Linked DNA regions of Arabidopsis thaliana. The protein of the gene in region 1 purifies or fractionates together with the protein of each later gene. This does not show direct contact. Each region holds a gene or a part of one and is shown in the gene's direction. Other genes may lie near its edges.

Region 1 (5,191 bases):
TTATTTTTTCAATTTGTTTTCATGTTTTAATTTATGGTATGTTTACAAATTTTAACAAAGCATATGTTAATCCCCAAAAGTTACAGCTGTATCTGGTATTGTGTTTAAAGATAAGTAAAAATGAACTCGGAACATGATATTTAATGTAATATAACGAGAATAGGAATGACGAAAAAGGAACGACATAGAAGGAGCCAACACGGGATAAAAACATAGCTTTTAGATTACAACAAGTTACAATTTAAGCAAATTAACGTTTGCAATCAAATATGTAACATGTGTTTTCAATTTATACAGCATAAAAATGCTCAAAATAATAAATGTTATTATAGTATGCTTTATAATAGTTAAAATTTAAAAATAAACAAATGTAATTTAATATTTATGAACAAAATATTAAACAATAAGAAGAAAGAAGTCAATTAATTTTGTAATATTTTTATTATATCATATCATATAAAAATATACATGAATTATATTTGTGTTTGTCCCAAACAGGATATAGAGAATTTTTGCTTCCATCACGTTCTGTTTCTAATCGGAATACAAATTTTTTCTCATATTAGAAATGCATTCTCTTATGAGAAATAAATTGGAGAACGAGTAAGATATAATGGAACATGATAAAATTGAATGAGAATTACGCCTATCTCTAAATATTTATATTTCTCGCAAACGTATTTAATCATTTTAATGGTTTTATATACGGTTTGATAGTTTACAAGTTTAATAAAAATCTACCTGACCATTAACTCGAATCAGTTTGATCTCGGTTCGACCGTTTGATTGTTATGAACTTTAAAATACTACTAAAATCATTATTATTTCAAATATTTCAACCAACTAATATAGTTTAGGTTATATATATACTATAACTATATAAATAATTTTTAACATCAATCTAACTTATATTATATTTTAATTTAAGATTTTTTTTTCTAATTTACTCTTCAGTTTCAAACTCCAAAAATGGACTTATGGTTGCTCTTATGTCATAAACAAACATAAATAATATTTTATATTTTTATGTGTACATTATAATTATTCAATACAGTATATATCACTAAAATAACAAAATAATTATATATTTAATAAAAATTTATTACAACACATTTCTTAATATATGAAGATGTACTATTATTTGCAAATACAAAATATGTTAAATAGTGTTTTAGTTAATTAGAAAATAACAAAAATTAAAGTAATTTTTCTCAAAATAATAATTATTTAAAGATTAATTGCTTAATTATTTGAATTTTATAAGAATTTCCTTTTAATGTGTATTATATATATGTATGAATAAGACTAATTGAAAAATCTGTAATAATCTAGTAAAATTTGGACAATTATTTAAATGGATTAGAATCACAACATGACGGTTTCGTTAATAACACGCCAATATAAATATTTTATTAAAAAAACTTCTCAATTAATATATAGAATATACATATATTTATTATTTACAAATATTTTTATATATTGAAGCTAGAAAATAAAAAAATTATGAAATTGTTTGGTGCACCAATAAAGAAAATATTTAGTTTTTTTTTTTTTCTAAACTAAAACATTTCTTATTATCTATCTAAATACGATTCAACAAATAGTAAAAATAATATGCATAATATAAATCATCAAACCTAATAAAAAGTAATAAATCTTCTATAAAATCTCCTATTTTCTAAAAAACTCTCTACAAAAGAAGTATTAATTTTTTTTTTCGAAGGATTTTATTAGTTATAAAATAAATTTAACAGAAAGAGGCACAAATACCAATAGGAGTTGGAAAACTAAAACAACGAGTGGTGTTGCTCTCTCCATCTTCCTCTTCATCTTCTTCTGTTCTCTCTCTATAAATACAAGTTTACTCTTCCTCTTCCTCAAATCTCTGACTCTTCTCTGCATTATCTCTTCGATCTCTCCAACTCTCCAAAACCTTCCTCAGGTAAAAGATCCAATCTTCCTTACAATTCCACTAATCTAGGGTTTTAAAATCCCAGATTCCTGAATCAAAACTTCTCTGAGATCCGAATTTCGCAATTCTGTGTTTTTGGCTAATTTACGCCTCGCAATTTTGTGTTTTTCGCTAACTTACGCCGAATCCAATGCATCCTCTGTCAAAACTCTCTAAATCCCAAATCTTTTTACAGAAATTTATCACAAATTAGGATTCCACAGTGATTTCTAGCTTTCGCATGAGAGATCTTATTGTGTTTAACATATTTCTTTGCAATTTTGTGTGTTTTTGGCTAACTTAAGCGTCGCAATTTTGTGTGTTTTCACTAACTTACACCGAATCCAATGCATTCTCTGTCAAAACTCTCTAAATCCCAAATCTTTTTACAGAAATTAATCACAAATTAGGATTCTACAGTGATTTCTAGCTTTTGCATGAGAGATCTTATTGTGTTTAACAGATTTGTTTTGCAATTTTGTGTGTTTTTGGCTAACTTACGCCTCGCAGTTTTGTGTTTTTCGCTAACTTACGCCGGAATCCAATGCATCAATAATCTTACCTCTGTCAAAACTCTCTAAATCCCAAATCTTTTTTATAGAAATTTATCACAAATTAGGACTCTACAGTGATGTCTAGCTTTTGCATGAGAGATCTTATTGTTTTTAACAGATTTGTTTTGTTAATGTAGAATGGGAACTACCAATGGAACAGACTATGGAGCATACACATACAAGGAGCTAGAAAGAGAGCAATATTGGCCATCTGAGAATCTCAAGATATCAATAACAGGAGCTGGAGGTTTCATTGCATCTCACATTGCTCGTCGTTTGAAGCACGAAGGTCATTACGTGATTGCTTCTGACTGGAAAAAGAATGAACACATGACTGAAGACATGTTCTGTGATGAGTTCCATCTTGTTGATCTTAGGGTTATGGAGAATTGTCTCAAAGTTACTGAAGGAGTTGATCATGTTTTTAACTTAGCTGCTGATATGGGTGGTATGGGTTTTATCCAGAGTAATCACTCTGTGATTATGTATAATAATACTATGATTAGTTTCAATATGATTGAGGCTGCTAGGATCAATGGGATTAAGAGGTTAGTTAGATTTTGTTTTCTTCGGTTTTCGCAGTTTACGGTTTCTTAAAACAAGTTAAAAAGATTGGATTTTTTGTTTGCTTTAGGTTCTTTTATGCTTCGAGTGCTTGTATCTATCCAGAGTTTAAGCAGTTGGAGACTACTAATGTGAGCTTGAAGGAGTCAGATGCTTGGCCTGCAGAGGTTTGTGATTATTTTTTATATGTTCTTGCTAAAGATTTATGAGTCTTTTCTTATGTGATGTTTTGATGCTGATATAGCCTCAAGATGCTTATGGTTTGGAGAAGCTTGCTACGGAGGAGTTGTGTAAGCATTACAACAAAGATTTTGGTATTGAGTGTCGAATTGGAAGGTTCCATAACATTTATGGTCCTTTTGGAACATGGAAAGGTAGTATACAGATAAACAGTTTCCGTACTTTGTGTGAATGATTAGTTGTTTACTATTGGGATTAATATTTGCTTGGATCAACTTAGGTGGAAGGGAGAAGGCTCCAGCTGCTTTCTGTAGGAAGGCTCAGACTTCCACTGATAGGTTTGAGATGTGGGGAGATGGGCTTCAGACCCGTTCTTTTACCTTTATCGATGAGTGTGTTGAAGGTGTACTCAGGTGAGGGTATCTCCTGATGTTGATGAAGTTGTATGTTAGACGTAATTGGCTGATATTTTCGTCATTTTTGTTTTATAGGTTGACAAAATCAGATTTCCGTGAGCCGGTGAACATCGGAAGCGATGAGATGGTGAGCATGAATGAGATGGCTGAGATGGTTCTCAGCTTTGAGGAAAAGAAGCTTCCAATTCACCACATTCCTGGCCCGGAAGGTGTTCGTGGTCGTAACTCAGACAACAATCTGATCAAAGAAAAGCTTGGTTGGGCTCCTAATATGAGATTGAAGGTACCAACATTATTTACTTAAGTAGCTCAAAGACAAGATAATAATCTAATTCTTTTATTACTGATATTGTTTTGACCATAATCGTTAAACAGGAGGGGCTTAGAATAACCTACTTCTGGATAAAGGAACAGATCGAGAAAGAGAAAGCAAAGGGAAGCGATGTGTCGCTTTACGGGTCATCAAAGGTGGTTGGAACTCAAGCACCGGTTCAGCTAGGCTCACTCCGCGCGGCTGATGGAAAAGAGTGAAGTTCACCAAAGTATAAGTCAAGCTCAAATATGGCCTTTTAAGTTCAGCAAAATGTTTAGATATATTTTTAGGTAGCTTCCTATTAAAAAAGCAATAATAAGTGTTTTGGATTTTGGTTCCTTCTATTCTGCTAATCCTTGTTTATGTTTAGTTGAAAAAGTTTGCTTGCATTGTTAAGTCTGTTATCATATTATTGTGGTCCTTTCATTCACAGTATGTATGTTTATCATCATAGTCAAGTTGATGTCGTGGTCCTCTCACGGACCAGTACAAGTAAGTGGCTTGTGTTTTTTCTTGCATCTTATCATCTATTCACACATCTCTAGAGGTTAGGGATCACTCACGGTGACTCACCATTCTTTCTCTTCCATCCACTTCTTTATCCCATTCCTCGGTCAAAAATGTCACACGTAATAAATCATAAGGTTTTAAGTTTATATATTGCTTTTTTTATGCAACTCTCCCGATCAGCAAAATATCTAAAATTTGAGATTTTTATCCATGTTCTAAGATTTGGTCTTAGACTCGAGATGATCCGAAAAATAACGTATTTACTATTTTAAATTTTGAATATACATTTTATCAAAAAACAAATATGAGATAAGGACGATATTATTATAACATAACATATAATGTTTTTTTATTATTTTAAATAATATCAAAGGAAATAAAGCTTAAACTTAATCCAAAACTAAGAAAAAAACCACTAAATCAAAAGGAAAAGCATAGTAAAATCTCAAAACAATTAAGCAACTTTCGGCTCAATTGTTAGCTTCTTTGAATATATATGTTATCAGTGTTTTTTCAAAAATCTTTGACGTTAGCATCATACTACAAATATTCATTTATGCATCTAAAATAAGACAATCGATATATTTCAAATCATCAACTCAACAATCACCCAATTTTTTGTTGTGGTTTTGCTCTTGCTCTCACTCTTCTTCGTGTCGCTTCTCAAATGAGCCCAAATCACCTTTTATATCATATGCAAAAG
Region 2 (4,531 bases), on another chromosome or scaffold:
GTTCGTGGTGCGTGTATCGGCAGAGGTTGTTTCGGTGCAGTTAGTACGGCGATCAGCAAAACCAACGGTGAAGTTTTCGCCGTGAAATCCGTGGATCTCGCCACGAGTCTCCCCACTCAATCAGAGTCTCTCGAGAACGAAATATCTGTCTTCCGCTCGCTAAAGCCTCACCCTTACATCGTGAAGTTTCTCGGCGACGGAGTCTCGAAAGAAGGAACGACGACGTTTAGGAATCTCTACTTAGAGTATCTCCCAAACGGTGACGTGGCTAGTCACAGAGCCGGAGGAAAAATCGAAGACGAGACTCTGCTCCAGCGTTACACGGCGTGTCTTGTCTCTGCTCTCCGCCACGTACACTCTCAAGGATTCGTTCACTGCGACGTCAAGGCGAGGAACATCCTCGTCAGCCAAAGCTCCATGGTCAAGTTAGCCGATTTTGGGTCGGCGTTCAGAATCCACACACCGAGGGCTCTGATCACGCCACGTGGAAGTCCGCTTTGGATGGCTCCGGAGGTGATCAGACGAGAGTACCAAGGTCCGGAGAGTGACGTCTGGTCTCTCGGCTGCACGATCATCGAGATGTTCACTGGGAAACCCGCTTGGGAAGACCACGGAATTGACTCGCTGAGTCGAATCAGTTTCTCTGACGAGTTACCGGTTTTCCCCTCGAAGTTGTCGGAAATCGGCCGTGATTTCCTAGAAAAGTGTCTGAAGCGAGACCCGAATCAGAGGTGGAGTTGCGATCAGCTTTTGCAGCATCCATTTCTCTCTCAGTGTCACAACTCATCTCCGACTGAGTCATCTCCGCGTTGCGTACTTGACTGGGTCAACTCGGGGTTTGACTTAGAAGAAGAAGAAGAGGAAGTAGGGAGATCAGAATTCGAAGACGCGGCGAAGGCAATAATTTGTAATTTGGCGACGACCGGAGGAGTAATTTGGGAGTCAGATGGTTGGGTGGAAGTTAGATGCCACGCTTCGGAAGAGGAAGGGACAACAATGGAATATTCGGGATCCACAAGGGTAGAATCGGAATATAACACATCATCGGATCCAAACGATGACGTGGCTGGTGACTCGGCGATAATTGACGTTTCTATGTCTCAGAATTTACCGCCTGGAAACGGGGGATCGGCGGCGGCGCTGCCATATGAATTTGTGGTGGTTTTACATTTATTAATGGAAATTATGGTTTATACTACATGTATCTTTAGGGAAATTGTTCTCACTATGTATTTGTTGTATCAGTATAATCAAAGCAATAAACTCGAAACGTTGTCTTTTAATCACAGCCTCAAGTTTTGTTTGTTTGCACATGTGATTCGGATCGGACAAAACTATCTTTTACGCGGTGAGATGAGATCGAGTGTCTTAATTACGAGCCATTGCCTTATATTGATAACTCTCGTTTACAGCCAAATAGTTGTATTTTAATGTGAAAAAATATTGCGACAAATGGTTTTGGTTCGTAAGCTGGTGGAAGACTCAAGAGGCCAAAAGAGACTTTGGTTTTATGCTTTAGAAGACTTTTGATTCATCCTAATAAGTATTCGGATTTTGGAGCATTTAAATGAATCATAGAGGGAACCGGACCGGTTGAAGATGGTTGTTTGTTTCGACTAGGCCTGAAGGACCAAGGTTATGCATGTACGATTATGTATCAAACTGAACGAAGTCGTTACATAGAGTTTAGCTCAAGCATATCATCATATTCTTTTTTCGATCTTTAAGATTTTTCTCTAATCTCTATGCTATAAATCATTAAGATTTCTCTAAAAAAGGATTAATTTCCCTTGAGATAAATAGCTTTAAAAATAACCCAGATACAATGGGTTTATATGGGCCATATATATTTTTTGTCATAAGAAATCGGCCCATAGTTAGCTTCAATTCAACGCCGTATAACTATGAGTCGTTCCGATTTCCTGTGTTGCGAAACCCCCAAATTCTCTTCTCTCTATCTCTCTCGCGTACGCCGCACCGTAGCGACCAATTGAATCCACGAGGAAATCTCAGTAAATACTATGGCGACCAACGAACCCGAGCACGAGCACAGAGACGAGGAAGAGGCCGGAGCTAACGAGGATGAGGACACCGGAGCTCAGGTCGCTCCGATCGTTAGGCTTGAGGAGGTTGCCGTCACTACCGGCGAGGAAGACGAAGATGCCGTCCTTGATCTGTAAGTGTTTTTCTTAATTGGTGTTTATAGTTTTTCTGATCTAGGTCAACTGGATCTGATCGAATTTATAAGGTTTAGCTTTTGGTGTGTTTGACTGAATTTTTGTTTGTGAATCTAAAGGAAATCGAAGCTTTATCGATTCGATAAGGATGCGAATCAGTGGAAGGAGAGAGGAGCTGGTACTGTGAAGTTCTTAAAGCATAAGAACACTGGGAAGATTCGTCTCGTTATGAGGCAATCTAAAACTTTGAAGATCTGTGCTAATCACTTCGGTATAATTTCTATTTGGACTACTTTGTGTTGTTTTTGAGTTGCATCTGGATCTGTATTTAGGTTACTGTTTCCTTATCTAGTCTTATGCTTCTGATATTTCTGCAGTTAAATCGGGCATGAGTGTTCAGGAACACGTTGGGAATGAAAAGTCATGTGTGTGGCACGCTCGTGACTTTGCTGATGGTGAACTCAAGGATGAGCTTTTCTGTATCCGATTTGCTTCTATTGAGAGTGAGTATGAAACCGAATTTTGTAATGGCTTGTGTTTTGCCTTATTTAGTCTCAGTTGGTTTGATAGATTCACGGATTAGATTACTGATGGATCTTGACCTTAGCATTGCTATATGGCTACTTTGTTAATTGGAGGTTCTCAAAGCTTCCATCATAGGCATGCGTTATTGGGTTCAGGAAATATCAAAATAAGTACTGTGGCGGTTAGGTTGTGGTATTGCATTGTAAAGAGATAATATTGTTCTTGAGGTGGTCAAGTATGTATTTAGGCTGCAACTAATTTGATATGCCAACATGGTCGACTGTTTCTTTTTTTATTTTGGGTAAATATTATCAGTAGTTTCTGAGCTGTTGATCATATTAACCGGGAAAAGTAGAGATGCTTGTGGGTAATCAAATCTTATTTTCCTTGTCAGATTGCAAAACATTTATGCAAAAGTTCAAGGAAGTTGCTGAGTCTGAAGAAGAGAAAGAAGAGAGCAAAGATGCCGCTGACACTGCTGGCCTTCTTGAGAAATTGACTGTGGAAGAGACAAAAACGGAGGAGAAAACCGAAGCGAAAGCTGTGGAGACGGCAAAGACTGAAGTGAAAGCAGAAGAAAAGAAAGAGAGCGAGGCAGAGAAATCTGGTGAAGCAAAGAAAACAGAAGAAAGTGGTCCCTCAACATAAGAAGCGTCATCATTTAAGTTGCCAAATCCTGGCGAGGTAATTAAGCCTCGAAATGTTTTGATGCATCATGAGTCTACCATTGTCTTGGCACTATCTATCTATACATGTTTTGTCGAGTCATATCAAGTGGTTGGGGGATCGCTTGGGGTCGGGTTTTACTGAATGCTGAGTCGTTATGGGTCTAATAGTTTTTGAGTCTAAAGTGTCGGGTGATATGAGAGATTTGGGTGAAATATTTTTTCATGTTGGTTATCTGAAAGAGTACATTGGTTTCATTGTTTTAAGTTTTCTCATGGATCCTTTTTGGATGGTCTTATTTTGAGGATACAAATGTGTTTGTCCATGGACAAGAATCAGAAGTCTCCATTTTTTTTTTTTCAAAATTTAATGCATGTGATTTTTTAATCTTAAGGTAATTGCCAATTGTTTGACAAAAAAAAGGTAATTGCCAATCTACTTTGCTCTCTTGTGTTAGTCGATGCTAGTCTTGACCCTGATAAAGATCCAAAATGTATATTAACAGTATTCATAAAATTCTTCAGTTATAACGAACTGTTCACGGAAAAAAAATGACATTGTACTATACTGTGCTAAAATTACCAAAGCATGATTTATATAAATCATATCCAGTAAGACCATATGTGAATGAATAACAATGGATTATGCTTAGGTTAAGATTTTATTAAATTTATAACACTTTTAAAATAAATTTGGAATAATACAAACATATAAACCATTCCTATAACACCATATTTAAACATAACAATGAATTGCTTGGATTTCAAACTTTATTAAATTTGGATTTTAAATTTTAATTTGATTGAATTATACCCCCTTAATTGGATAAATTCAAATATGTCAACTTTTTTTTTTTGTAAGATTTTTTTATGGAAAAAAAAATTGATTATTCACTAAAAAGATGACAGGTTACTTATAATTTAATATATGTAAACCCTAAAAAGAAGAAAATAGTTTCTGTTTTCACTTTAGGTCTTATTATCTAAACTTCTTTAAGAAAATCGCAATAAATTGGTTTGAGTTCTAACTTTAAACACATTAATATTTGTGTGCTATTTAAAAAATAATTTACAAAAAAAAAAACAAATTGACAGAAAATATCAGGTTTTGTAATAAGATATTTCCTGATAAATATTTAGGGAATATAACATATCAAAAGATTC
Region 3 (4,364 bases), about 13 Mb from region 1:
TTCCATCAAATTATTCGGTTAGTAATATTTTAACACATTCGAAGAGAGAATCTTAAGATTAATCACGGAATCAGTCAATTGTATAAACTTTTTGAGGAAATTTTCTTTCAAATGAATTATAATTTTTATTCCATGCAAACAAAGCATAGTAACAAGAAATTTAACAATGGCAAGCCCAAAACAAACAGTATTGGGCTTTTAAAAAAATACATTCGATGGGCTTATTGGAAAAAAGCCTTTTAGGGTTTTCTCAAAACCTCTCTACTATAAATAGAGGAAATCCAACTTTAGAGTTTAAGAAGAAGCAATCCAAAATCAATTCACTGAAAAGCTTCGTTTTTAATCCTGTAGTTTTCATAGGGTTTGGTGTTCTCTCTATTGTTGTTATTGGGCTTGCCTTTTGTCTAGGATTATCATGATTTATGTTTATTGAAAGATTGGCTTCATCAGATAGTCTATGTGGATTTGTTCGTTCCCATATGATTCGTTCCCTTGAAGCAAAATCAATCGTGTTGCTTTCGTTATTTATATAATTCTCCCTATGAATCTTCGGTGATTTCGTATTTATACGATTTTTGCTGATGTTGATTTGGGAGAATCACAACTGAGCAGCTATATATTATTCGTATTGAAATCTAGATTTGGGTTTTTGTATAAGTTTTTGGAAGAACAGTGATGAGTCAGTTTACAGACCTGTAATGATTGCGGTAATGATCGCATTATTATGAACATCTAAGGGACTGAGTTCTTCTTTCTAATATGATTTAACAACTTCAATTTGTTTTTGTTGGTTAATGTTTTTTTGTTTAATCTGATAAAGAGGCTGATGAAGATTAGATATTAATGGTTACTGAAATTTCAATAAGTGTGTTGATATACTATCTTCTTGACTAGGACTGCTGAGGCTAATCTTTGAATTCTAAGGAATTATGTTTTCTCTTTTTGATTTAATGAAATTAGATTGTGGATGATGAGAACAAATATGAAAAAACAGTTATCCCTGTCTGAGGATTTTAATCCCTTTGATGATTCATTTGTAATCTGACACAACCTTCCAGTTCATATCGTTTTGGGTTTTGCTTGTTGACTATTTATTTCAGACCCTAAATTATACAAACACGAAGATTTGTCATTGAAACAACGCAGCTTCATTCAAAAACGGATTTTAAAATTGGAAATCAGACAAATGACTAAGCGGGTCCCTTTTGACTTTAGCATCAATATTCAATATTACCGTGCCAGTAATAAGAGTTCTCGAGTCCATGAAATGATGTTGTATCAGTTTTCGTTCAGCATTTCAATAAATTCACGATGTTTTGGTCAAAATATCTTACTACCTATCGACTGTTATCGGACTTCAGGTTCTACTCTTTGAGTCGTCGACAATGAAAACGTTTCTTTTTCCTACTGTAACGAGAAGGCAAACAAGTGGTATTTTGTTACGATAAAAAACAGGTCAAAAAAAAAATTTGTTAATTGAATGTTTAACACGTTTCCAAAATTTATAAATGTTCATATTCAGCTTACATTGTACTAGCATCGGCAGTAGTTGATTGAATACTAGTGTCGAGTGACATCAGCTTGATATCAAAGCATGATTGATTACATTATATAATATCCATTTGTAAATAATCCACCTCTCAAAAAAAAAAAAATTAATAAATAAATAATCCACCTCCGTTCATATATAAAGATTGTCACGGTGGTCTACCTTAACACTACAAAGGCAGTCCACGACTGAGAAAAAAAAAGCAGTTCAAATTTTTTTCGTATGTGTTAAGGATGGAGTACATTCATAGAGCATCATCTACATTCTACTCCAAGATAAATGTGGAGTATCTGTATTACTTTTAGTTTTGTAAAGAGATTATACATAATTTAAATATGGTACATTACTCATTACAGGTCTTTGAGCTGTGGCGTTCCTTAGCCATGATGTTTCATCCTCTATATTGTCGATACGAGTTCACACTTTCTAGCTTCATCTACATACCAAAATCATGAATTGTCGTATAGGGCCTTAATGGGCTTAAATGACCGAGATAATGACCTGTTAGCCCACTAGAGATAATTCAGAAGCCTAACTTTGGATATAAAGTTTAAAAACCCTGGTTCCAGTTTTTTCTTCTGGTTCTCGAAACTTCTTCTCCCAAATTGAACAACCAAAGAAGTTGCAGAGCACACACACACACTTTCAAGTTTCAATACAGAGATGGCGAGCACTGAGCCAGAGCGTGAGAACCGTGAAGATGAAACCGAAGTCAACGAAGATGAAGACACCGGAGCTCAGGTAGCTCCGATCGTTAGGCTTGAAGAGGTTGCAGTCACCACCGGCGAAGAAGATGAAGACGCCGTCCTCGATCTGTATGTTACTCGTTCCGTTAATATTCTAGTTTCCTTGCCTCTGGTTAAAGTGAGTGTTGGATTTTCGATAGAAGATGAGTGTCGGATTTTTGATAGAAGATGTATTCTTCTGGGTTTATGATTTTGTAGGAAATCGAAGATGTATCGATTCGATAAAGAAGGGAACCAATGGAAGGAGAGAGGAGCTGGAACTGTGAAGTTATTGAAGCATAAGGAAACTGGAAAAGTTCGTCTTGTTATGAGACAATCTAAAACCCTAAAGATCTGTGCCAATCACCTCAGTATGTTTGATTCTCTCTCGAAGAAGATCTTTTTTTTTTTTCTTCGAAAGGGCTAAACTTTATGTATCTTTTGTTGAAATTATGCAGTTTCGTCTGGGATGAGTGTTCAGGAACATAGTGGGAATGAAAAGTCTTGTTTATGGCACGCTACTGATTTCTCCGACGGCGAGTTGAAAGATGAGCTTTTCTGCATTCGATTTGCTTCCATTGAGAGTAAGTTTATACTTGTGAAATTCGTATACTTGTTTTTGATTGAGAGTAACGTGGGTACATTTAGTAGTATTCGATGTTTAATTTATGATAGTTGAATCAGGGAAGATGGTTTGGAAGGTATTCTTTATAAGACTCTAGTTGTGATGATTTAAGTCTCCCATGAATTGTGATTCATCAAGTCCATATAGATAGCTCAAGACTGAAATGGAATACTGCTTTTGTAGTGGCAATACTTATAATGTTGCCTCATTTTATAATTTTAGGGAGACATTGTTGTCTTGAGAATAAACATCTCAGGCCATTTTCCAAGACTCTGTTGGTCTCTGCGGTTGTGGGTCTTATCACTAAACAAATGAACAAAAGGGTTCCATGATCCTTAAGTTGTGCTAAACAACTACCATAATCGTATCTATGTTAAATTAGACGCTGACATAATCTATGAGATTAATATCCTAGGGTCTGCATCTGTCTTTTTGGTTTTAGATTCTCGAGTGGCTAACTGATAGTGTTGCATCAACAGATTGCAAAACATTTATGGAGAAGTTCACTGAAATAGCTGAAAGCCAGCAAGTAGGGAAAGAGAGCACCCAGGGCGACGAGGCTGCTGGTTTAATAGAGAATCTTTCGGTTGAGGAAAATATAAGTGAGGAGAAAGCCAAGGAAGCAGAAGAGAAAGAGCCTGCAAAGGAAGATAAAGAAACAAAAAAGGAGAAGGTAGAAGAAGAGAAGAAAACAGAGGCAAGCACTTAAGTGATCAAATTAAAATTGGTTGTTGGCATCACTAAGTGTGCTTTGCTTTATTTTAATATATTATACTTGGCACTGAACATGATGGTAGCTTCAAAAGTTTGAGTCTTTGCGCTGTGTTAGAGAAAGAGAATCTTAAGATTTTTTTTTATGTTGTTGCTGTGTAAGTGTTTGACTATTGTGTCGTCTCTTTACTGTGTCAATTTGGTTTAAGATAATAGTATTCGGCATCAAATTAGTATCCTTGCTTTCATCTTCAATCATCCGAAATGGATTTGTGGCCAGCAGGTTACACAATCTGTAATTGACATGTTTGGTGTTGCAGCAAAGGGAACAATCATGTGGTGCTTCTAAGAAGTAAAAACTAGTTAGTTAATTTTGGACCCAACAAATTTGTATGGACCCTAAACCTATAATTCGAAAGGCTCCACCACAAATAACACCATGTTTTAAGCACTTCTCTATCTCTCTTTCACCATTTAATTTCCTCTGACCATGAGCTGTTCCTGCATTGAATATCAGATTTTATCTTTTATGCCTCATTTCTAAGTACCCTTGTATGTGTTTTTCTAAACGTTTATCTTCACAATAGCACTAGTAAGTGGATGTATGATAATTGATACTTTGATGTATGTGCCAACTATTTCTTACATACAATTGTACATTGTAGGCTACAATTTGTAGCACAACTATATTATTACTATTTACTAGAAATGGCGAAAAAAACAAACAATACCGAACATCAAAGTCGAAACTAAA

What was found. Proteins that work in one complex are often made in the same cells at the same time.
Region 2: the proteins of GME (region 1) and SIRANBP fractionate together in Arabidopsis thaliana (co-fractionation; one large-scale study listed by BioGRID). This does not show direct contact.
Region 3: the proteins of GME (region 1) and RANBP1 fractionate together in Arabidopsis thaliana (co-fractionation; one large-scale study listed by BioGRID). This does not show direct contact.

What each region holds. Positions count from the first base shown.
Region 1 is NC_003076.8:10,861,477-10,866,667, reverse strand, and holds GME (GDP-D-mannose 3',5'-epimerase), read left to right. Parts: upstream 1-1,721; 5' UTR 1,722-1,942; intron 1,943-2,623; exon of another isoform or gene 2,624-2,642; 5' UTR 2,643-2,643; coding exon 2,644-3,053; intron 3,054-3,139; coding exon 3,140-3,236; intron 3,237-3,313; coding exon 3,314-3,443; intron 3,444-3,529; coding exon 3,530-3,662; intron 3,663-3,740; coding exon 3,741-3,948; intron 3,949-4,040; coding exon 4,041-4,196; 3' UTR 4,197-4,652; downstream 4,653-5,191. UniProt on the Arabidopsis thaliana protein: Catalyzes a reversible epimerization of GDP-D-mannose that precedes the committed step in the biosynthesis of vitamin C (L-ascorbate), resulting in the hydrolysis of the highly energetic glycosyl-pyrophosphoryl linkage.
Region 2 is NC_003070.9:2,191,179-2,195,709, reverse strand, and holds SIRANBP (Pleckstrin homology (PH) domain superfamily protein), read left to right. Parts: upstream 1-1,873; 5' UTR 1,874-2,021; coding exon 2,022-2,176; intron 2,177-2,296; coding exon 2,297-2,448; intron 2,449-2,554; coding exon 2,555-2,680; intron 2,681-3,096; coding exon 3,097-3,350; 3' UTR 3,351-4,031; downstream 4,032-4,531. Other genes in the region: MAPKKK13 (mitogen-activated protein kinase kinase kinase 13), read left to right, coding at 1-1,431.
Region 3 is NC_003076.8:23,679,563-23,683,926, reverse strand, and holds RANBP1 (RAN binding protein 1), read left to right. Parts: upstream 1-1,991; 5' UTR 1,992-2,212; coding exon 2,213-2,364; intron 2,365-2,493; coding exon 2,494-2,645; intron 2,646-2,732; coding exon 2,733-2,858; intron 2,859-3,378; coding exon 3,379-3,608; 3' UTR 3,609-3,864; downstream 3,865-4,364.